Caenorhabditis elegans: one gene and its partner. The protein of the gene in region 2 interacts with the protein of the main gene of each other region in a pairwise test. Each region holds a gene or a part of one and is shown on either strand. Other genes may lie near its edges. The genes, in order: sol-2 and sol-1.

The links.
Region 1: the proteins of sol-1 (region 2) and sol-2 interact in a protein complementation assay, tested with the Caenorhabditis elegans proteins (one study listed by BioGRID).

What each region holds. Positions count from the first base shown.
Region 1 is NC_003279.8:14,718,019-14,728,892, forward strand, and holds sol-2 (CUB domain-containing protein), read right to left. Parts: upstream 6,722-10,874; 5' UTR 6,714-6,721; coding exon 6,614-6,713; intron 6,562-6,613; coding exon 6,226-6,561; intron 6,090-6,225; coding exon 6,006-6,089; intron 5,176-6,005; coding exon 4,697-5,175; intron 4,259-4,696; coding exon 4,153-4,258; intron 4,109-4,152; coding exon 3,903-4,108; 3' UTR 3,748-3,902; downstream 1-3,747. Other genes in the region: Y54E5A.8 (Conserved plasma membrane protein), read left to right, coding at 220-493, 870-967; Proteasome subunit pbs-5, read right to left, coding at 1,338-1,453, 1,655-1,989, 2,041-2,444; K05C4.2 (Protein jagunal homolog), read right to left, coding at 2,703-2,963, 3,013-3,321; K05C4.10 (uncharacterized protein), read left to right, coding at 7,278-7,621, 7,915-8,113; K05C4.9 (Protein zyg-11 homolog B), read right to left, coding at 8,860-9,229, 9,287-9,889, 10,133-10,460.
Region 2 is NC_003279.8:7,386,659-7,400,259, reverse strand, and holds sol-1 (Suppressor of lurcher protein 1), read left to right. Parts: upstream 1-4,341; 5' UTR 4,342-4,376; coding exon 4,377-4,556; intron 4,557-4,637; coding exon 4,638-4,702; intron 4,703-4,784; coding exon 4,785-4,904; intron 4,905-4,982; coding exon 4,983-5,127; intron 5,128-5,180; coding exon 5,181-5,267; intron 5,268-5,751; coding exon 5,752-5,937; intron 5,938-7,996; coding exon 7,997-8,054; intron 8,055-8,567; exon of another isoform or gene 8,568-8,669; intron 8,670-9,601; coding exon 9,602-9,806; intron 9,807-9,963; coding exon 9,964-10,102; intron 10,103-10,294; coding exon 10,295-10,409; intron 10,410-10,455; coding exon 10,456-10,624; intron 10,625-10,838; coding exon 10,839-11,154; 3' UTR 11,155-11,211; downstream 11,212-13,601. Other genes in the region: C15A11.4 (uncharacterized protein), read left to right, coding at 1-9, 291-403, 479-767, 881-988, 1,050-1,181, 1,231-1,352; C15A11.2 (Protein PXR1-like), read right to left, coding at 11,544-11,645, 11,731-12,150; col-35 (Nematode cuticle collagen N-terminal domain-containing protein), read left to right, coding at 13,325-13,601.

The DNA of each region.
Region 1 (10,874 bases), 7.3 Mb from region 2:
GGTTACAGAGTTTTTAACTTTTTTAAAAATTTTGCCGATTATCGGTTTGTACGACGAAAATATTCTAACAAAATGAAAAAAAAAAAAAATATTCGTGACTATGGTAGCTTAAATGTTTATATCAATTTAGATAACGGCAGGACCCAACACCAACAATTTATATTTCTTTTAACATTAGAGCGCGCATGCTGACCACTTACCAATTTTCGATTTTTCCAGCCAAGTTCCTATTCCTTCAAGCCATCTGATTTCCCGTGGATTCTTGTCGGATTACTCTTCTGCATTGGAATTTTCATGGGCGTCATGCTTACCGCTTGTTACCATTTTATAAATAATATGCAAAAGGAGCCACAATTCGATCGTTCCAGTGCCATTATATATAATAAAGCTGGCGATAGTGTGGGCTCCGAGAGCCGCCGTCCGATGCTTCCCAGGCGGAGAGAGCAGCAAATTGAGCTTATAGAACGGGCATCTGTGGCACCTTCTATGTCCTGTAAGTTTTTAAAAAAATATTATATTTTTTTCACAAACAAGAAAAATGAAGTTTGCGCGTCAAATCTGATGCATTTTGTGTGTCTTTGCGTACTTTCCGATTGAGGACTCAAAACATCATATTTGGCGCGCAACCTTTGTGTTTGATCTACGGAAAACTTAGTTTTGGCAAATTTCGAACTACCCATTGACTTTCTCAGCCAAAACTGTACAATCCAAAGCTGTCGAAAAAATTAGAGAAAGTTGCAAAATATTCCTGGGTACGGTAGCTAAAATATTTAGATCCTACTGATACCCATTACTCTTAAAATCGCACTTTTTCTCAATTTTAATGGAAAAAAACAATTCAAATAATAGCACAATTAAACTATTTCCAGCTGGAACACGAATAGGCCCTGCGTGGCGGAACACTAATGGGACTCCAGCTGTTATAATCACCACGTCATCAACACCCAGCCGACACATATCGCTTTAACTTGATTTTCACATTCGAAAATTGCAATAAACTTTTGAGTGTAACTCCATCTCAGTATCCCTCTAGAACTACTTGATATTAATGTTCCAAAAATCCAATTTGTGCCATGTGATTGAGAGTTTCTTCCAGCCACCCCTGTTGTCGAGGGAAATTCTAAATTCTAAGCCTAAATTCGGGATTTCGAACTTGAAAACTTTAGAACTTAATGTACAGAGAGTATTTAGCAAAAGAAGAATAAATTAATTGGAAACGAAAAATAGAAATAAATGACATTTTAAAGACGGGTGTGTATGTAAAAAAAATCGGGATCGGATCAGACATCAAATACATGTAAGAAGAATAAAATTAATTTCAGCGTAGGGAAATTGAATCACTCGACTGGGTTGTAGGTGATATCTCTGCCGAGCTCATCGGCAAACTCGTACCACAGCTTGCTCACGTCCATTGGTGGAAGACGAATCTTTTCGGTTGGCGTGATGTGGCACACTGAAATTTGGAGGATGAAAAATAGAAGCGATTAGATTAAAGGTGGCCGGAGATTTCACAAAATGAACCAATTTTTTCATTTATCCGAAGAATTTTTTCGAATAAAAATCGTCTAAAATTTAAATTTTAGACAAAATAAAAGCCATTTTTAGTGAAAAATGGTCCATTTTGTGGAATAGCCGAGCAAAAAGCTTCACGTACAATTGCAGACGCCTCCGGATCCAGAATCCCGATAAGTGGCGTGCATGATCGCACGCAGGCCGAGCTTTCTGGCCTCGTCGTCCGTCATCTTTGGCTTGTAGTGATTATCGAGGATACCGTAGGCATTCAGAGATCCTGAGCCAACTGAGCACACTTTAAGCTGGCAACGATCTCCTTCCGAGTCGACTTTGAAGATTTGTGGTCCCTTCTTATCGTATCCGGCCACCATCGATCCAACTGACAATCCTTGTCCTCTGTATCCATAGAGCGTATTTGCAAAGTACTTGCTCGCGGCGCTCACGGTGATTGAGGTCTTCTCGCGGAGCTCGTACAAACTGAAAATAAATAATTATTTTTGTTTTGAAGCTGAAAATATTGAAACTCACGTGCAGTACTTGGCGACAATTCGGGTCCAGAACTGACAGTCAGCAGCTCCTCCAGCCATCGTGGCAACCATACGATCTCCGATGTCCAAGATCTTCATGACCGACTTGGATGAGATGTATTCACCACTGGAGGCTCGTGAATCGACAGCCACAATGATTCCTCCCTTGTCAGCTGGAGTTGCTGGCTCGTAGACGAACGCCAATGTGGTGGTTCCTTTGCGGAATTGCATGGATTTTCCGGCGGTCTCGGCGAAGTGAGTCTTCATGAAATCGACGGGCTGGATTCCCAACGGAAGCTTCGCGAAAGTGAAATCAGCTCGAGCCGGCTCGGCGATCAGGTTCTGCTTGGCCATTGCCATCTCTCCTTCGTCATTCTCGAAATCGTCGAATGTCTCGCCCCACATCTTTGGAGTTCGATTCTGAAAATTGATTTAACAAAATGAAACAAATGCAATCAATATTGAAACAGAAAAGTATCAACGGAACTGTAGAACAGTAACCGGTAATTAGAAAAAGTAAGAAAATAAATAAAAGATATGGAATTATTAATTTGGCAATAGAGACTAGCAGGAATTTGAATAAAAATACTATTAACAAGGAAAAGGTACACAACTCAACAAATGGGGGAAAATTGAAAAATAATATCACAAAACGGAGAAAATTTAATCTCGCTTGACTGGAGCCCATGCGGCGGCAAGGTGATGCATGAAGTACATGGAGAATCCGTGAATCTGGAGTGCGACCGCGAAGAAGATGTACCATATGATGACCATCGGGAAGATTCCTTTGAATGTCGGTGTGTTGCTTCCCTCCATGTCTTGAGCATACTCCATCAGCTCTGGAAGTTGTCCTCCAAGCCCGATCATGCATGGGAAGATTCCGACGACGAACTCGGCATAGTAGGCGTAGTGGAGGATCTTGAGCTGAAATAAGAAGTTATATTTGTGGCAAATTGATCAATAAATAAATTACTTTGTTTCGTTGGAACGAATAGATGGCGAGGACGATCGGAATGAATGAGAAGCACCACACATACTCCCATGGGTAGGCTGACGGCATGTCCAGTCGATCGAAGAACGCGTTTTTCCATCCGAAATTTGTTCGGAGGAGTTCGCTGCCAACCTTGAGCCACATGAAGACCAGGATCAAGAAGTGTGGAACGAAGAACCACTTGAGGATCGACTTGTATTGAGCGCTCTCCTGGTAGTGCTGTGCGACCCTCTGCCGATTTTGGAAGTCCGTCCCATCGGTACCCGCCGCTCGAACTCCTCGTGATGACATTCCCGCTTGAAGTGAGCTGAAATAAAGATATAATTGAGTTTCAAGTGATTAAAAAGAGAAATTAAGAAGAAACAGCGAAGAATAACATCTGAGCTGAAAGTATAAATTTCACAGGTCCCAATATCGACCAACTCTACACATTCATCAGTATTTCCATAGAAAGAATGAGAAAACTCGTTAAAAAAGCGAAAACCTGCGAAAGATATAGAAAATTTTGTTTTAGTTAGTTTTAGTGATGACAAAAGATGACAAAAAGACGAGTCTCCGCCCCTTTGCAATGCGCGCGCGCGGTTTTCGCAATATCGCCGCACGGAGTTGCCGTTATTTTTCTTTTACTTTCCCGCTGATAAAGAATTAATATTTCCATAATTCTTTCTATTCTGCCAGGCAAAACACTTGAAAATTGTCGAAAGTAAATAATTTATATGTTTGAATAATGTTTATTAAAGTTTCAAATTAAAAATAAAAGAAAAAAGCTCCGTTACATTAACTGAAAAGCAATTTTAAATTATAAAATTGTGAAAAATTCGATAAATTTGTCGAGCGAATCGCGAAAACATTCACAATTCGCTCTCTAATAGTCACCGGTTCGGCTGTATCCGTGTTGTAATCGAATTATTATTCATATTTTTACATTTCCCATTCTCCGACGCGGCTCTTCGTTCCCGAATCATCACCCGAAGCCGTCGCCGCTTCCTGAACTGATCACAGCACACCAAGACGAGCATCGTGAGCACAATCAACGAGAATCCGAGTGCCGCCGATGTTATTATCTCTCGGGAGTAACCTGGAAATTTTTAGATCTTGGATTTTACTGGAAAATGAGCTTACAGTGTTGCTCGTCGGAGAAATCTCCTTCAACACAATTATGGATTCCGTCACAAACGAGAGAGCTGTGAATGCAGAGACGGGACCGTGAAGCGCAAATTCCATGACCCTGAAGTAGAAAAAAGTAATTGAAAATACATGGATTTCAGCATTGTGGCAATTCAATTTGTTAAATATCAAAAATACAAATCACGAAAAGGCTAATTAATTTTTCTTACAAAACAAAATTTATTCTAAATAGGTTCTGTTCAACTTTAGAATTTCTCCTTTTTTTTCGAATATTCAGACTGTCGAATTTATGTTTTCTCCCGTTCAAAAATCAATTTTCCAGCTCGAAACTAGCAAATGTCGTGAAATGGGATGTTTTTGGGTACTGTAGTTCCGTTTGCGTACTTTAGTGACTACACTAACCCAAAATTTTGGATTAAATAAAAAGTTTTGTAATTAAACAACTCTTTTTTTTTGAATTTATGATTCAAGTTAATTTCTAAAAAATAACAAGGAACTACATATAGATTCATTGAAAACATTCTGATTTTTCACAAACCTGTTCAACACAAACTTGTCCCCCATGGCACATAAATTGATCCTTACAAGAATTTCCATTAACACTCTCATCACCTTCTCCAATCAGACCCTCCACTGCAGTCCATACAACTTTAAATCCAATCCTCTCTTCCCCAATCATTGAAGACGGTGGTCCTTCCTGTGTAATAAATCGTACAACAATTCGATTTGCACTTGATAAATAGCTTTTCATTCCCTCTTCTGCATAATACAGCTGACTTCCACAGAATTTTGCTTCAGACGTCTCTGACGTGGATTCCTTTCGATCAATTCCATATTTTTCATGTTTATATCCATCGATTATTGTTAGTGATGCTCGTTCACATTCTGCAATAGTGGGGGCCAAGTGTAAATGAACTATTCGAATGTAGATTCGTTGTCGGGCTTCTACACGGATCAACCAATTACACGTGGAATTCTTCGGATATGTGGTTGGATAGCCTGGTGACAGTATTTCACCTGAATATTATAATTGTATAATGTAGAAGTTTCAGATTTTAAGTTTTTTGAATTTCTTATGGTGTGTCCATAGTCTGCGGAAAACGGGAATTTCCCGCGTGCGGAAGCGTCCATAGTCTGCGGAAAAAAGAAGGAGTTTCTCGCTTTGTTATTGGTCAATTTCAAAATAGTGGGCGTGTCCAACAAATTAGAGGTTGTAAAATTTTAAGCTGAGCAATGGGAAAGCGAAAAAAGACCACGCCTACTTTTTTGAATTTTGAGGAAAAAAAAGCGAGGAAACTACGGTTTTTCCGCAGACTATGGACGCTTCCGCACGCGGGAAATTCCCGTTTTCCGCAGACTATGGACGCACCATTACAGAAATAGTTTTATAGATTTTGAAATTTTGAAATTTCAAAAAAAAAAATCACCTGGTGTCCGAGTATTTTCATTCCACGGCCACGTAGTAAGGTAACAGTTTTTGCAACGTAGCCTAGAAAGAAACAAACCTCGGCCACCAATTAAAGCACTTTTCCTCTTCAAAATTTTTCGAAACATGAAGGTGTCGTGGCCGCGAGCAAGGGTGTCAATTCCCGTTTGTCCCGTTGTCCCGTTTTTGGGGTGTTTTCACGGGAACGGGAATTCCCGCTGTCCCGTTTTTGTCATTTTTACGGGAACGGGACGTCTTTTGTCCCGTTTTTGAGCGTTTTCACGGGAACGGGAATTCCCGTTGTCCCGTTTTTGTAATTTTTACGGGACACTGACACCCTTGGCCGCGAGAATAGGAAACTTGGTCCCCAACTTTTCACGCAGCCATGTGGCAAAAATTTACAAATTTCTTAAAACCTCACCAGAAAGTTGTCCAGGAGTGGAATGTCCACCACAACCACTGAACATTGATTCTCCGAGGGTTGAAGATGGCTCCTGGATTGCTGCTGGAAATGGTATTTTTAAAGGGAAAATTTGCTAGAACTTCGCAAGAAGCATGGGAAATTGAAAAGAAACAAGATAGAAAAGTTGTCTACAAAGAACTGGTTGAAAAAAATTATACTAGTTTCCAGCTCTACCTACCCTCCGAAAGAATCCTGTACTGAATCCTAAACCCTCGATGCTTCTGATTAGTTGAAGTAGTGACGAATTGAACTTGCATCCATGATTGCATAGTATTAATAGACAGTGGAACCTGATTCCCACATAACCTCTCACCAACATGTTGTCTACCATGTCTATCAACTACAACAACCAGAAGATAACTATCCAGGCATTGATCACTTAATTGATTTTTTGATGCTAGATCAAATGAGACAAATGATAATTGGATCACATTCGATGCAGCTGTTGTTATGTTGAATATACAGTCAAGAGGTGCAGAGAATGCCGATGGATATCCCGGAGATTCAATGAATCCTGCAATTGCACCATTTTTTTTTAATGTTCTATGGAAACTTCCAGAGCTCACCTGTAGTGGGTGTAGACGAATGAATATGCTTTATGGGACAATATGAGCATGTGATCAGTGTGATGACGTTGATAATGATGAATAACAGATATTCAATCATTTTACCATCTGAAAAAATAGAAAAATTTGGTATGAATAATAATCCCCACAGAAAAATTAGAAATAAATTAGTTTTTGTTTTTTCCAGAAATTTCAAGTTTTCTATTGTTCTTTGGACAGAAAAGATAATTTTTTGAAGGAAACAAATTTTGAAAAGAAAGTAGAGATTGTCCAATTTTTTTTTGGTTTTTTGGAAGAGCCACGTGGCCGCGTGAAAATTGGTGGCCGAGTTTTCACAATTTCACGGCCAGTGTATCAGGTAGGTCAAGGTTTTAAATTTTCTGAAACACCAAAAAGAAAAGATCAAATGAGATACAAGTCACGTGGCCGCGAACATATAAAGTTCGGCCACTGAAAAAAAATGCTCGGCCATCAATATTTTGTGGCAAAATTATACTCTAAAAAATATTTTTTAAAAATCGGGAATTGCATTGAAAAAAGTTCAAAATAGACCTAAGCCTAAGCCTAAACCTAGGTCTAAGCCTAACAGAAAGCCTAGCTAAACCTATATTTGGCTTAAAAGACTAGAAAATGTAGAAAAAAAAAATGCAGAAGAGAAAAAAAAATGGAAATTGAAATAAAAAATCGATGTATCTTCTTCTCCTTTTTCTACTACATCTTCTTTGTCCACTTATCCATTTTTGGAGGGACCTTCAGAAGGAAAAGAGTGTGCTCTTCTTCAGCTGCTCCATCTGAATACACTCGCCCGAAAATTGAGAGAGGAAAAGGACGAGAAGATGGAATTGCTTCTTCGCCTTCATTTTGGTGGGTGCTCTTCATTTTAACGGAAAACGAAGAGAGAGAGAGCAGAATGGGGCAGGGAAATTTGGCAGAAAAATACATTAGTCTACGAGAAAATGAACGTCTTCTTTTTTTGGATTTGGAAAAAAAAACATTCGGTGAAAAAATGTAGGTTTTTCATAAGTCTGAGGGGAAACCAAGAAGTGGGGGGTAGCTCAAAAATTTCAAGTTTTCTTATAAAACAATCTTCACTCAATTTGAAAAGAAACTGGAAATTTTGAACCAGGAAATGGGTGGAGTTTTGCAAGCTCCGCCCATATCTTGGTTTATCCTTCTTACAACTAAAGTTTGAAATTATCCTAACTGAAATTTTTCTACAGTTGCGATTCTTTCGTTTTCAACTGCTAGAATAAAAAACTTCAAAAAAAATTTACAGCCTTTAAATATTCTTCAATTTGCAGAAAGCTTTCCATAGAAAGTAGTATCCTTTGCAGCTCCGAGCATGTGCTCCAATTGCTCCTAATTGGTAGTCTCATCTTCTTCAGTCGGTCCTCCGTCCACTTATTCACTTTAAGAGAAGCTTCTGCTGCTGCTGCTGCCAATCTAATTATTTGTTCCCTTTTCTCTACTCTGGGAGAGAAGTTTCCGAAAAAGTTATGAAATTTATATTTCCTAGTAACAATTGAATAACAACGAGAAACAATTAACTGTAAATTAACTAATTTTTTTAAATTTATATATGTCAATACGATTTTATAATCGGGTCATAAAAAAAGAATGCAAAACATGATACACATAAGAATGAAGGAAAACAATTGAATAATTGAATATAAAATTGAATGTTTAGGGTCTCTAGTTGTTATGCTTTTTCATATCGGCACCATGCTCCTTCCCTAATAGCCCGTAATATTTCCAATAAACCGCCCGTAAGTTAGTAAAGAAGACTTTTAAAACTCTACGATTCCTTTCTAAATCTTCTCCAATCGCACATAAGTGACACTGGTATCAGGATCAGGGCTGTACGGCTGGAAAGTCGGCTGATAGAGCAAATGTAAAGATTACAGTGTGTTCAGGATCAAGATGCTTAATGGAATTTCAGGATTGAAACTCCTAATAGTTTTAAAATAGAACAACGTGAAAACTTTGAAAACATAAATTTAGGCGATAACAAGTTTCAGTGCTATTTACAAGCGCACATATTTTTGTTTTTGACAAAAAACTTGTCGTGTCGAGCCTGGTTATCCTTTTTTAGTTTGTATACCATATATGGGTAATAGAAATAATGGAGTTGGCTCGAAAATCGATAGAAATTTAATTTTGAAAATTTATTTGAAATTGGTAATGAAAGGGTTTAATTGTTTGATTTCTCGGGTATAGAAGCCGGAACTTTGTTTGATTTTCTAATACTATTTAAGAATTAGTAAGATTCGTTCTTTAGCGACTTTCACCAGTTTCGACTTTATTTTGATATTGATTATCAAGTTGAGTATATTGAATTTTTCCACAATTCTTCTGCCGTCATCGTGTTGCTCTAAGAACTTTTCTATTTTAAAAAGAGCCCAAAGGATAGGCCCATCAAATTGTGTTGACGCAAATAAGCTATGGAAAATTGGCAAATCGATATCTACAATTTCACTTGTTTCCAGTCGATGATAATTGTTTCTCAACAGTCGATTCACATAATTTCGAAAACCTCGCCGTGTTTGATTCAAAAGAATCGAAAAGATTGAGTGCAGAAGGTAAAGCCTGTCTGACTTCCATTTGTTGAATGTTTTTCTGAAATTATGATAAATTTAAGGGGAATGTCTAATAGTGTGTAAATGCTTAACTCACTTCAAGTACTTAACATTAAACTCTATGAAATTCTCGAAACTTGCATTCGCACAAACCACCAATCTTTTCAATATGCGAAGAATTTCAAGTTGTAAAGGTTCATTGTCAAACTTGTTGATGGCATTGAATAAATCTTTGGCTCCCTTATTTTCAACTATATGAAGACAAGTCTGTGGATCATCCATAATTGGACAGAAAATTATGTCAATGATGGATTGGCATAACGGAGTATAATATGGAGTAAATTTCATACACAAATGTAGGTTCCTAATAAGGATTTTGGAGTCTTTTATAGTTCCCTCTTTCGAAACCTTGAATTTATCGCGTTTCCTGGGAAAACAATACACTAAAACTTGTAATATGGGAACAGCGATGTCAAATGTATCAAAAACTTCTGCCAAACAGCAAACTGCCGCATCACAAACATCGTCGTAGTTTATGATGGATAAGTCGAGGGTGACTAAGGTCTGTATCGCACTCCAAATTGAATTTCTGAGGTATTGTGTAAAATTTGAGCCAAGGTGATCAAAATTGTGGATGAAATTAAGCAGAACACGGAGCGCCGTCACTGCACATACCGGACGTAGTCTTTGAGCATTGTTTCTGTATGATAGACATTAAAAACACATTTGCTTGAAACTTATACATTTTGAATTTTGAAATTTTCTGATTACCCTATTTTTCAGATCGTTTTTAGCTTTCAGGCTAGTTTTCTGAGTTGTGGTAATTAACAGATATCAAAACAACGTTAGAATGTCTCCGGTGCCTCAAAAATCTATTGCTTTAAAGTTTGGCATCTCATTTTTTGTTCCTTATAGTAAGCAAAATAGAATGTGTAAAACATACGATACAATTTCCGTCACGCAGAGTATTCCGCTTGCATAAGTTGTGATATATGAGGGGTTAAAAGAAAGAAATTCTCTGGTTTTCTGAACATGGGTGACAAATTGTTCCATGGTTCGGATAAGAATTGCTAAACACCCGGCAATATCATACTCCTTGTTTTGTGTGTAATATTCTTTCAACAGAAAGAAAATATCCTGGAAGCACTTCATAACCGAGTCACTCTTTTTCAATTTTGAGTAGTAGTTGAGAGTTTGAAAAGAAGTCTCTAATGTTGCTGAGTTGAGAACTCGAATTTCGGTGGAAAACACTGCATGCTTTAATTGACAATCTGAAATATTAAAAAACGAATATTTGCATTACTCTGACAAGACAATATTTATAAGCGAAACATCACAAAAATTTCGCTGACCAAAGTTATGAGCCGTCAACGTTGCGAAAATAATTGTCTTGCTCCATCCGATTTGATTTCAGCACTTAAATGAGCGCCTCTCGGACGATCATATCATTAATTTGTTGCTTTTCGGAAATTTTAGGCTATGTTTAGTATTAGGTTTAACCGTATTTTTACCATTTGTTGTGATTCTTGTTTTAAAAAAAGTGTGTTTTGAAATTCTTGGTTTCTTAAAACTTTCTTGAATCTTTCTTGGCTTTTTTAAACAAGAATTCTTGTTTCTTTTTTCATGGCAAAAAAGATTACACGCGCATCCCTGGTTAAGATAATGCTTTAAACCATAGTCTAAAA
Region 2 (13,601 bases):
AATCTATTGGTAAGGCTGGAATGGAATGAGTCGCTTTGCAGCATTGTGAGAATATTGATTTTTCGTTTCTGGACCGGTATTTATTAGGAAATATGCATATTCATCGAATGAGTTTACTGTAAAAATTGTTACGAATTTCTGTTTTATGTTTCTGAACACATTTTTAAAATGTAACACCTGCTCAAACATAGAAAAGTAAGTTTTCTAGAATTTCTACAACTAAAAATAACATGACTGAGCAAAACTTATGCAAATTATGAGAACAAACTCGATACAATTATTTTTCTCAGGAATGATGTCTTCACTTGTTTGCGTGATTTTTATGAAGGTTCAGTACGAATCAATGGCTGTGATTTTTGGAGTACTTGGTGCTATCCCGGGTTTCATTTTTGGAGTTCATGTTGTAAGTTTGTTCATAAAATTATCCTCTCCGTATTATCCTCTCTGTTTTTTTGCCCTAACAGTCACTCCATTGCAGTTTGACCCTCTCTTCACTGGAGCACAGAAGAAAATGATGTTCGTATCAATATGGACCGCATTTGCTTTTGCTCTCGGACTACTGAATGCTCAAAAAAAGAGGCCGACATTTGTCAAAATTCCAGAATTTTGTTTCTGGAAAGGTCTTCTTCTGTTCTTAACAGGTATTGTTGGAGGAGTCTTTGACGCATTTGCTGGAAGTGGAATTGATATTTGTATGTTTTCAATTGTGACCCTATTATTTCGAGTCAGCGAAAAAACAGCTACACCCACAACTATGATTTTGAAAGGTGAGAGAATGTTTGTAACTCCTAGAACTAAGTATTCCTTTAGCCTTTTCTATCAAAACTTATTTGGAGTATACTTGACACAAAAGTACAATAAAAAACTGTACAACTTTAAGGAATCGTCTCTGTGTTTGGGTTCTGGTATCGTGGGGTTATGATGGGAGACATATCGGAAACTGCATGGAATTATTTTGCTGTAACAATACCAGTAGTGGCAACAATGGGTAAATGAAATTCCCTCGAATTCTGATGTTTTACACCACTTTTACATTGTTCATAATTTAGCACCAATTGGTTCATTTCTTGGATCTCATCTCCATCGACAAGTCATTGCGGGGCTCATTTATGTGTTAGAATTGGCATCTTTAATTGGTTTTCTGCTCACAAATCCCTCGTGGGGACTGATTTCCGCAGCAGGTACGTTTTCCCTTCTCAAATTTTTTCCGAGAAAACCAGGATATTTCAGTTACAATAATTCTATGCGGTTTCGGTTTTTTTGCACTCATTGCCAAGTCTGGTGAAATTTTGATGAGAAGATTGGAAGAAAATAGTGAAGAAAAACAGGAGAACTTTGAGATGGTTGCGTGAATTAATTAGTTATTCTTGTGATATTTTCCTTGGTGTTTATTTATTTATTTATTGGAAGAAAATTCTATGAAACTTTTCCTTGTTTTAAATAGCTGTTATGTGTTCCTCAAAACCTTATTTTGAAGTTTTAACAAAAATAATAGTGTCTGTGAGGATTTGCATACTGTTTTTGAACAAATAAAATTGAACAAGAACAAATTATCTTCATTTTAAGGTATGTTCAATTTTCTGATGCAGTCACTTTCAGAAAAGAATGTTGATTTTTCCATTTCTCTAACTTTTCCTTCAAAAACGAATCTCAAAAAGTCTTTCTACATTTTTAAAAGATTTGTTTGTTTCACGCCCTGTTTTCCCACGTACTTTATCCGCTTAAAGTGCCCACTTCAATGGATTTGTTTTTCACTTTCACTTGTAGTAAATCCATATGAGTACTACATCATAACTCTTCCTCCTTTTTTCGACTTCTTCTTCTTTTCTTTTTTTCTTTTTCCGGGTGTTGACAACATCGTCATGATCCTATTCAACAATCTTCTCCTCCTTTTTTAACACTAAACTAATTTCACATCGGGAGCCTCCAGATTTGATTCTCCACTGGAAAGAATCTTCAAATATTATATTAAATTGTTCCGTTTCCAATCTCAAATATTATGTATAGTGGGGAAGATTGCTGTTTGGTTGCAGTTTCGTTTCAGAAAATAAAAATTTTGAAAGTTTTTGATTGAGCAACTCCATTCAATTTTGAAGTTTATTCGAACTTTCCAACGGATTAGGTAACAAGTTGATAAAAATTTAAATTAAAAACGTTAAAATAAAATATTTTAAAATTTGTTTGGTCAAAAAAGATTTTTTTTTGTATTTGTAAGTATCATAACGAACTTTGTGAATTTCAGAACAAAATCTACAACATTTCGGTATAACTAATATTTTCCAAACTAACAATGTTCCAGAAAATTTTCCTAATAATGTTTCTAGTTATTAAAGAAAAATAATATTAGTAAAGGAAAAGTAACCATTTCATGGATCTTTTTTAAAACCAGATGTAACAAACTGACAGCAAAGCTGCCAGGCTTAAACTTGAATTCTCCACGTGGTGATTTGATGTTCTTGAAAACAAAGAGGAAAGTGTACTAATTCATTGTTAGAGGCACACTTTTCACTTGACAAGTTTCGCGCATTTCGAACAGTGGTCCTCCTTTTGACTGATCCTCTTCATCTTCAGAACTATTTCACCAAGTTCTCAAGACACCCATTAAAGCCTTCTTTGGCACATACGAGAAAAAAGAAAAAAGTTCTTCGAGGGGGTGGGACGTATGCGTCGCGAAAAGTGGGAGGACCCTGGAGCAACTTGGAGCATTGTCACATACACAAACCACATGGCCGTCATTTTTAGCACTTCTTTTTTACAATCGTTTTCTTATTTTTCAACATTTTCTGCTTCTTAATTTGGATGTTGAAAACCTTGTTTTTCATATTCATTTGCCCAAAGGCGTTTGCTTTTTAAAAAAACCCTACGGAGCTCCGTCTCGAAACTGAATTTTTGTTTCACTGGATTTTTCCCTATTTTCCAACAGTCAGTATTTATAAATGAATACCATTCAAACTAAACCCGAACATAATATGACAGTATTTTCGTAGTTGAACTTTTTTCATTGAAACCAAAGACACATGCATCCAGTGGCTTCAATACTTTTCATCTCCCGTTTCATACTCGTTTGTCTTCATTTTGAAGTTGAAGACCTTGTTTTTCCTGTGCCCATCGTCCCAACACTATATCACTTTCTCACATCTTTTTGCCTTTTGTTATGACTACTTTTTCAAAAAATATGGACACAGCGACGGCTCTTTTTGTTTCTGTTTCCTTCATTTTCATATGTTTCTGCTAAACCTACTAATCCTTGTTCTCTTCATCCTTTCTTCGTGTACTTGCAACATCTGATCAATGGGTTTTTATTTCCGTTGTTATATAGTAGCTGTCGCTGAAATTTATATATCAAAATTTGTCAGATGTTTAGAGCAAAAATTGTTTTTATACACAGATTGCTGGCCAATTTGAAAATTAAAAATAAATAAAAATTTCAATTAAACTACTGTGCCTGTTCTCGTTGTTTTCTATATTTAATCTCTTAAAAACTTCTAAAGGTTTCTTATTGCTGAAAATATAAATATAGGATATCCGTTTCCCCAATTTCAAACTGCGGACATTGACACATTTGAGTGGTCCATTGATGTTCTGACAGATTTGTCAAATACTCCTGACGTCTCTAGTACACAGCTGAGAGCCTGTCTTCTCAATCACAAAAACATTGATATATACGTTCGTTTTGAAAATATCTTCTTTTTGTTTTTCTACTACGTCTCAAATATCTTTAAATCTGTTCAGTAAGTGCTGAGAGTGTTATTTTTATTGGCGATACTAAAATTTTTATTTGATTCATTTTTATACAAGAGTACATTTTTGAGAAAGAGGGAAAAATTTGGGGATCAGTTTTGCTGGAATATGGATTTTTGGTCTTTTATTAGATTTTTAAAATATGTAAGTATTACTGTTTGATACATGTAAATAGAATAGTGCTTCTTCTAAATAATTAAACAAGTACATTATCACAGATACTTCAGTGACGAAATTCAAATCATGAAACTTCAACCTGTTATTCTTACAGTCAATTTTTTCACTAGTTTCGCGGCTAGTAGTTGTAACACAATTTGCGAGTTTGATACAATTTTCGAAAAATTATCGATTATTATTTTCACAATATCAGAGCATTCTCAGTTTTCATGATATAGGTGGCTTCTACATTTTCGTTCCAATGTTTGACACCCAATATCCCAATTCTAATTTTCTATAGTTCCTCCAATTAGATGTTCTCCATTTACTCTTCATTATCTTTATGTCTGTTTGTTCTTAATCCACCCTCACCCATCGTTTCCCTATTCTCTCATTTTACCAATTTCCGGACATTCTTCAAACGAAATTAGTCAAACTTTGCAGGTTTTGGATGATGAGATGATGATGTCTCCGTCAGAATGTGTCGTCGAGCCGAAGATCTTGTGCTTCTTCTGATTCCGATCCTTTTTGGATATTTTTCTCATGCATCGGAACATGAATGCAAATGTGTGCTATTTAATGTGACAAGCGGGAATTTTCATTCTCCGGAGTTTCCGGCCCCTTTGGAAGGTGTCCCCTGCCTTTTTTATCACTTTCAGGTTTTGTTTTAATTTGAATTTGTTTAGTATAAAAGAAGATATAATAAAATTGCCGCCAACCCCGATTATCAATAATTTCAGGCACCACCGGACCATATAATTCGATTGACTTTCGATGTATTCCAGTTACCGCCACGAATTGGAGTGTAAGTTTAAAACCTTATTTTTTGAAGAATGTCTTGAATACAATAGAGTTTCCGGTCTAACAATTTCATTCTTTTGTTGCAGTTGTTCATCTTCAATTATGCTTTTCGACCATTCAACCGATGGACTTATCGAGTTTGGAGAACGAGCTGACTTTGAGTTTTGTGGAAAAGAAATCTCTTCGGGACGTCAATTCTTTTCAAAGTAAGCTCGATTTTTTTCTCAATGCCCTCCAAAAAAGCCATTGAGAAAGTATGGAAAGCGTCAAGTAATTCGCTTCAGGGACCAGCACTTTCTACTGCAAATTTCGAGTGGAAAAGAGTCATCGCGTGGATTTCGGGGATCGTTTTTAGCAATTCCTAAAAAAAACTTTACAAGCGATGCGGTGGAAATGGCAGAGTGCAGTTATAGAGTTGAAAAGCAAAAGGTATAAAGATATGATTTAAGTTCGGAGAAATTTTTTTAAATACTAACTTTCAGGCAATAATATATTCACCGGATTATCCATATTATTATCCATCAAAAGTCAATTGCACTTACCATATACCTCAAAGAAAAGGATTTCAGGTATTTTCTGTTTTGAAAAGTAGTGGTTGGGAAGAATTTCATGTTAATACATATATTCGTTCAACTCTCCACCACGGGAAAATTTTTTTGCAAATTTTTTCGTCCCAAAAAAAAGGAAAAAAAAGGGTCCAGAAAAAAACAAACAAACATTTTTGTCGCAGTCACCGATGACTTAGGATTTCCTCATCCTCCCAGGCTCAGATGAGTTCAACTCTCCACCACGGCCAAATTTTTTGCGAATTTTTTCATCCCAAAAAAAAGAAAAAAAAAGTGTTAATATACAGTTAATGATGATGAAAATTAGCAAAATTAATTCCGTATGAAAAATTTATTGCGAAAATTCGAGAATTTATGGAATAATTCCATTAAAAATGCAAATTTCGGGGCGAATTTTAAACTCTATTCTTCGTATTTTTCGACTTTAACTTTTGAATAATACATATTAAATATATTTACCCGTTTTAACTTGTTTTTCTTTTTTCAGATAGTTGTAAATTCAATAGTCATGGATATTGGCCGTGATGCAATTTTACAAATATTCGAGTCTGTTGAAGGAAAATTCGAAAAACGTCTCATTGAAATGGTGACATCCGTCCAGAAATCAATTTACGTCTCGTCGACCTCCTCGTTGTTGATTTATTTCTCAGCTGGGAATAACGACGTCGAACGGGTTCGTTCTCCTTTTTTGCACTTTTTTCCGCACGTTCTTGAAAAGAAAAAAGTATGTATACGTTATTGGAAAATTATTCTGCATTCTGATGTTTCTAAAGTGGGGCTTTGTACCTGAAGTTAACCTTGGATTTGGCTTCAAACTGAAACCTATGTCACAGATCCAAAAGCATATTTTCTGAAATTTTTTTGTGATTTCAAGAATGACAGGGATAAACATACATAATGCAAATTTTTTGGCAAGATTGAATTTTTTTGAAAAAAACTATTGATCCACTCATAAAATTGAGAATCTTTGCCTTCTACGTAAGTACTATAAATCGTTAGAATTATCTAAAATCTGTAAAACAGCTTTTGGGGTACTTTTACTAGCCTTGAAAATAATGAAAAACAAAACCGACAAAATTTTAGAACGAAATTTATCCGCTGTAAAGTGCTCCACTGTAAATCCAAATGAAATAGGTTTTCGGTAATAGGATCAAATCCATTATCAATTCTTCTAATTTTGCAATAGCCATGAAAAAAACAAATTCATCCCGAAATAAACTTCAGAATGTAGTATTTTATCTAAAAAAAAACGTTACAAAATGAAACGCGAACACAACATAACCACCAGAGATTCAAACATTAAAAAGAGAGCAAAATAAAGTAGTGACATCAAAATAGAAACATTGGAAACGTGGGATCCTTGACGTTACACTTCCCTTCACTTTTACAAAGATCTGAAATCAATTTGGACAACACAAAGATTCAGAAATCAGACAACTGATGACTCAGAAGTAGAATAATTGGGAGAAAATTTTTAAGTTTCCGTGGAACGGGACAAAAACAAATTAGAATTTGTCTAGTGTTGTCATTTTTCATTTAAAAATAGTGTTAATTTAAGGTAGCAAGTTATTAAAATGTATAATTTATCATATTATTTAGGTTTTGGGAAACAAATCTATTTTTAATTGAAGTTTGTTCTCTGAACTATCAAAATGTTTCGAAGATCCTTTTATCCCTAATATATACATCTGCTCTAATTGTAGACATGTCTATCAAAAAATCGTTGAGAAAGAAACAACTCCTGCTCAATTTTTTAAACACTAGACGAAAGTTTGTTTATAGACATATTTAAACCTACTTTCGTTGAAAGGAGACATTATTTGAACTGCCAGGATATCAACCTAAATCAAGTTAAAAGTTGAGCAGCGTCGATCTGGTTTTTGGTTTCAATGAAAGAATATTGGTTGGAATGATGGAAAACAGTTAAAATATTTAAATTTTCTGATGCGTTCCTTTTGCGACATAATGTCAAGCGTCTGATCTATATTCGGGAAGTAGGGTGTGTGATTATTCGATAAAATTGGCAAACCGAACTTATCTGTAAATTTTCTTCCAGTTATTCTGCAATAATTGTATTATATTAATTTTGTAATTGTATTATTGCCAAATAACATCAACCAATTCATCTGAAAGACATGTTAGAATTGTGCCAGTTCTCCTTACAAATATTACCACATTATAACCCAATTGCCAGGCGCCGGTCTTAGGTTCTGACGGCGTTGATAAGAAAAGTCGGCAGAATTTTAACATTTTCTCTTAATAAAATTGGTTGCTTTCGTGATATCTTGGACTATGATGAATTCAAACTTTTAATAAATTTTTTGGAGCAAAACTATATGAAAACTTACAGATTAGTTAAATTCTCCAAATTCTCCTAAAAGTGCCTATCATTTTGAAAAGAAACCCCCCATTGACTTTCAAGAAAAAAAAGCAAAAGTTTCCCCCAGTTGAACACGAGCACAAACCTTTCAATTCAAAACTTTTTAATCAAAACGAAAAAGAATTAAGATGTATCAAAAGCTTCATTTCATTAGCCTTAAGTCCAAAAACTAATCGTTTGTGCAATTCATCTCATTTCCTAAATGATGAGTTGTTGTTGAAAGTTTAAACCACTTGAAACCCTCCTCATTTTTTTCATTTTTTTTTCTACTTTTTCTTGTCTCCGGTTGTGTATGTGTGTCTGTGAGTGTGTTGAAGCAATTTAGGCAACAGGAGGTTGTTGTGTGTTGCAGGCCGTTGGCTTCGTAATCGAATTGCAGTACTCGAATGCGGTTTGGAGCCAATCTCCGGGTGAGTTGAGTTGTTGTGTTGAAGAGCAAAAGAAGGGGGTTAGGGGGAGGAGAAGGAGGAGCAGAAAAATGGAAGGAGGAGAAGCTTAAAGAAGGAGAAAAAGGGTGAAGCATACCTCCCTTTTTACTGAATCTTCTCTTGATTCTATCCTTTTTCATTCCTTTTTCATTCCTCCATCTCTTCATTTATTCATTCATTTTCTATCAATTCCGTCTTTTTGACGTTCCCCCGTTCGCTCATTATTCAGCCCCTCTTTTGGCACCAAACTCTCAACCAGGGCCTTTTCAAATTTTTATGCTAAAAATATTACATGTGATTTTCATTATACTTCTTGAGCATGTTAATGGTAAGTATTTTGATCCAAGGGTTGTGCGGTAGAAAAATACGTTTTGGAACAGTGATCTTATTTATGGAAAAGCTTTTATGAGAATATAATCATTTGCAGCTGTAGCATGTCAGTTACGGTGAAGGGGAAGCTTACTTAAAAATATTCAAACTTACCAAAAACGCCAAGACTTCGCAAAAGAATGTCGAATAAATCTAGAAACTCGCTTGATTTCTGCGAATATTCAATTTTTCCTAATCTCATTATTAAAATTTTCACATTGTTGTCTTTAAATAACTTTGACCCAAGTTTTTATTTTTTCCTTATTTTTTAGTATTAGATGAGGGAAACAAGTCTTCTAATTTTAAAAATTTATAAATTCTTTTGCGAATCCAACAACTTTGTCCGCAACACAAAATAAGAATTTGGGTCAAAATTGAAAAAATCATAACAAAAAATGTGAGTGGTTGAGATAGATAGCGTGGTAATTGGAATAAGAATATTAGCATGAGTTTAAAATTTAGCAAAACCAACCAGTAACATTTTTACAAACTGAATGGAAGTGCAAACTAGTCGCTCACTAGGCACTGCTCATGCTCTACAACCAACAATCAGGTTTCTTACTTCGAATATATTTTTTCGAGGATTTTTTAATAATTACAAGTGTAAAATCACAATTGAGCTATATTCAAACACGATATCAAGGAATACATTCATCACTTGCGAGAAATGCTCTAGATCTGGTCGTACACTATTCAAGTTTAATCTCTCATAGCTTTTTTTGCTGGATTTTTCAGAACAAAGTGAGTGACAAATGATGGCAAGCAGTATGCAGACTATTTTACTTCAAAAACATTTCTAGAAAAATTAGTTTTCGAGATACGGGCGAATCAGTAAAAGTTGTCAAAAAACGGGCTCACGAGATGTCGGCCGCTGTATTTCTTGTAATGACACTGGTAAACAACTTAAACAACTGACTACAAGTAGACGTAATTATGGACAATACTGCATTAGTTGAACTTTTTCGATAGCATGCCCAGTTTTTAAGTTGTGCTCGTTTGAAAAATTTGTAAATTAATCAAAAATCGAAAATTTGATAAATTTTTGGCCGCCACTGTACAACTTTTGATTTCTCAAATAGTAAAAACTATCGCACAACCCAACTATAAATTCCTGAACTTCACAGTCATATCTACAATCTCAACAGTTTTTCAAACTACAGAAACAGCGTCCGAATGTCAGCTGAACATCAACTCGGAAAATTTCAAAGAAGGTCAACTATCATCTGATAAGATTGGACGATTCACTTCATCATCTCTTCCAACGAAATGTCAAATTGTACTACAGGGATACCCAAATGAGAAGATTAGTGTAAAATTTACACATTTTAACTTGTATGTTCCGGATAACAAGAACGTTACCAAACGGTTAGTTATGAAAATATACAGTTCATTGTAAAAGCACCTTATCTTCACATGAAGATAAGTTATTAATTCAGAAAAAAAATTAGAAAAGGTTTTTTATGAAAAGAATTGAAAAAAATAAAACCGAGATCTACCCTGGAAAATTGTTCATTTTTTTCAGTTGCACAGAAGTGGATAATCTGTCTGCTGATGTTCGAGTGGGGTCACGTCTTTCAAGAATTGATGAATGGTGTGGTAAACGAGCTCCACCCAATTTGATGAGTAGTTCAAATCTTCTACAATTGGAATATAATACAAAGGTTAGTGTTGAATTAATTTGCAATTTTACCAGTAAAGTTTTTGATTCTATCAAGATTGAACTCTAAAAATGAAGCTGCTCTAGAGCAAGTTCAACCAAGTTATGAAAGATTTCAAACGTTATCTAGCAAAAAACAAAAGGCTACTTTTAAAAAACTTGATAATTTAGATCGTTTTTATTTTCATAATTTCAGTCATCAAAGGCTATTCGAGAAAGCACAAATGATGATATTGGTTTTCGATTAGATTACAAATTTCATACTGACTGGAATATGGGAAATATGAAAGCAAAAGTAGATAAAAAGAAAGGTTTGATCACATTTTGTATTAATTCTGTAAAATCTTTTATTGACAGAATGTCGCTTCTCATTCAATTCATCAGAGCACACAAATGGGAAACTTTGGTCTGCAAACTATCCAGGATTGTATCCGAGAAATTTATATTGTGAATATATATTCCATGGAAGAAATGATCAAGTTGTTCATATTCATTTTGAATATTTCGACATTGAAGGTTTTAACCAGTGAGTGTTTTTGGTTATATGAAACATGTTATATTTACCTACCAGTTTATGAAACATTAGTTTTAGTTAAACCACCTAACGAAGGGTGAGAAAAAATTAAATTAAAAATTTTAACAATTTTTCAAAAAAAAAACCATCTATTTTGAATACAAGCCTGTATTGTTGTCTTAATTTCCAACACTTCAAAAATTATGCTATTAATTATCATTTTTAGATGCGACGAAACAACTCAAAGTGATTATATTCTATTTTCAAACTATCAGACTCATGATCGAACGAATCGTCGTTTTTGTGGGAAAACAGCTCCAAAAGGTCCAATATTATCAGAATCCAATTACTTTCGAATGATTTTCTCAACGAATGACATCTTTGATGCAACCGGATTTTATGCACATTATCAGTTTATCACTCAAGAGAAATCTCAAATCAGTCGGGTCAAGCTCACGATATCTTCTAGCCAAACTCCGTTCTCCTCATTTTTCCTTGTGATATTATTGTTCACCTTTCGATACATTGCCAACATTTTTTAGCTGACTTAAATACATTTTTTCGTGTTTTTTTTTAGTTTTTATAAATTTGTTTTCTTTGTTCATTTATTGAACACTTTAATGTTTTCATTGAAAACAGTCAAATTCAATTCAAAATGAATTTAACTTTCTCTGGAAAAAAACTCTTTTGGATTTTAGAAATATGGGTTAAACCGGGAAAACGCAAACGTCCATCTTCCTCAGCTTACTAGAAAAATAACTATTTCGCATGCAAAAACAGGCAAGGAAAGCTTTCTTTTCTCGAAAAAGTACCTGAAATTCGGAAAATCGGACTTGTATCAAAATCAAAAACTAAAAGATCATACATTTATTCAAGTAAAGGTTTTTTCATTAGCATTATTTTGTTCCTTCTTGTCATTTCATCTTATTTCTTATTGAGCTGCACCTGGACCGAAATCCTCGTAACCATCGTCCATTTTTGTCTTCTTCCCGTCGTCCTTCATAACCATATCCATTCCACTTATCTCCATGTTCTGAAAATTATGATATTAGAAATTTTAAAGTGGAAAAATGATTCAACATTAGTTAAAAATCAGTGTATATTTGATATGATTTAACCTTGCTTGTTTTTTCCTCTTCTTTCTTCTTTGGCTGTTCCTTTGGTTGTTCTTTTGGTTGTTCCTTCAATGGGGGTTTAGCTATATCCTTTACTACATCCTTCGCCTGATCCTTAGGTTGCTCCTTAGGCTGCTCCTTTGGTTGCTCTTTTGGTTGCTCTTTTGGTTGCTCCTTTACCAATTGATCCTTCGATTGTTCCTTCTTCGGTGCCTCCTTCTTTCTCTCTTTCCCAACATCTTCTTTTGTCATTCTTAAAACATCCTTATCATCACGTCGTTTTTCTTTCTCATATTCTTTTGGATCCGTCGATGTCACGGATTTTGAATGCGTGAGAGTGGAGGTTTTCTTCTTGGCTGTCTTCGTCTTTGATCTCTTTTTCTCCGCACCTTCTTTCTTTGTATTCTTGCTTTTGTTGCCCATTTCAATCCTTATTGCAATAAATCGAAAGTCTACAATAAATCAAAATATATAAGTTGAGCAGAAAAAAAAAATTACCAACAAGTTCTTATGTACAGCTTCTAGGACCTAGGTGGAAATAACCACAATTTTTTATAAACTAGGCACGTTTGCATAATGATAAGTCTCACGGCAAAACCATATTGTTATTAATTAATTTAAATTAATTAAAATTCCACTTCTCAAAGGACAGTATGGAAATTTCACGAATTTTCAAATTGACTCGGATAACGTGACTTTGTGTAATTTGAATCGAAACATGCTCGATCGATAGAAAGTTGGAGAAATGTCCACGCAGCCCCAATTTAGTTTGCTATGGCATGGAACACCTCAAAGCGTGTATTACTATTTTCACACAAAGCCTTCTAAGGAGGCACATAAAAATTCGCCTGCCTACCTATGCCTACTGTTATGTTATCCGGAAATTATATATTTTTTTGATTTTCGAAAGAAAATTGATGGGAAAAGATTAAATATGTAAATCTACGCTATGCAAGCACCAACCACTGGCGACCGCGCGGAAGTTCTGAAAAAAGTAGGCGGTTGGTAGGCAGGTAGGTGAAGGCCTGCCTCCTAGACACAAAGTTGTACACACTGTTCGCGGTGAGCTAACAAAGAGAGAAGCTCTAATCGGTAAAAAAATGTTGCAAACAAACTCACTTTTTCAACCGAGAAACAAGAAAAATACGAACGTCGAGTTGCTCAAAACTTAGCAATGGCAAATATGAATTCAGAAACTTCATATTTATTAAACAAAATATTCGCCCGTGGAATCTTATTAAAATTAAATAAGAAAAATTCACGTTTTCAATTCATGCATAAATATGAAAATTTTCTTTTTTTTAAGTCTCTCGAAAAATTTTAGTTATCTCAATTGCTAAAACGATATTTTTCCACGGAACCTCAATTAGAAAAAATTAGTTCTGGAAGCATTATTCTGCCGGTATAGTTTCCTACAGTACTGCAGAAACTTTTTTATTCTCATAGTAAATGAATAGTAAAACATAAAACTAGATATCAAACGGTTGTGTTGTAATAAAAGATGAATATCGGAACAAGAAACCGATTGGATCAGTACAAAAATAATTCATATATAAGTAAGTGGAAATGGAAGAAAACATCACTCATTTGGTATCCAATGTCCCACAGTACATCCTATTATTTTATTCTTTCGTCGACGATCGGCTGCTCGTTGATCGTTGTCGCATCATTGCTGACTCTTTACTCAATTTCTCTTGATATTCAACAATTTGAAATGAATATCAACAGCGAAATGGTTCATTTCAAATCTCGAGCCAATGATGTTTGGAATAAAATGGTTCGAGAAAATCTTCCTCAGAATCAAGCAACGTCTCCATCATTTGGAAGATATATTCTTGCAAAGAGAGCTGCTGGATATGCAACCGGCGGAGGTA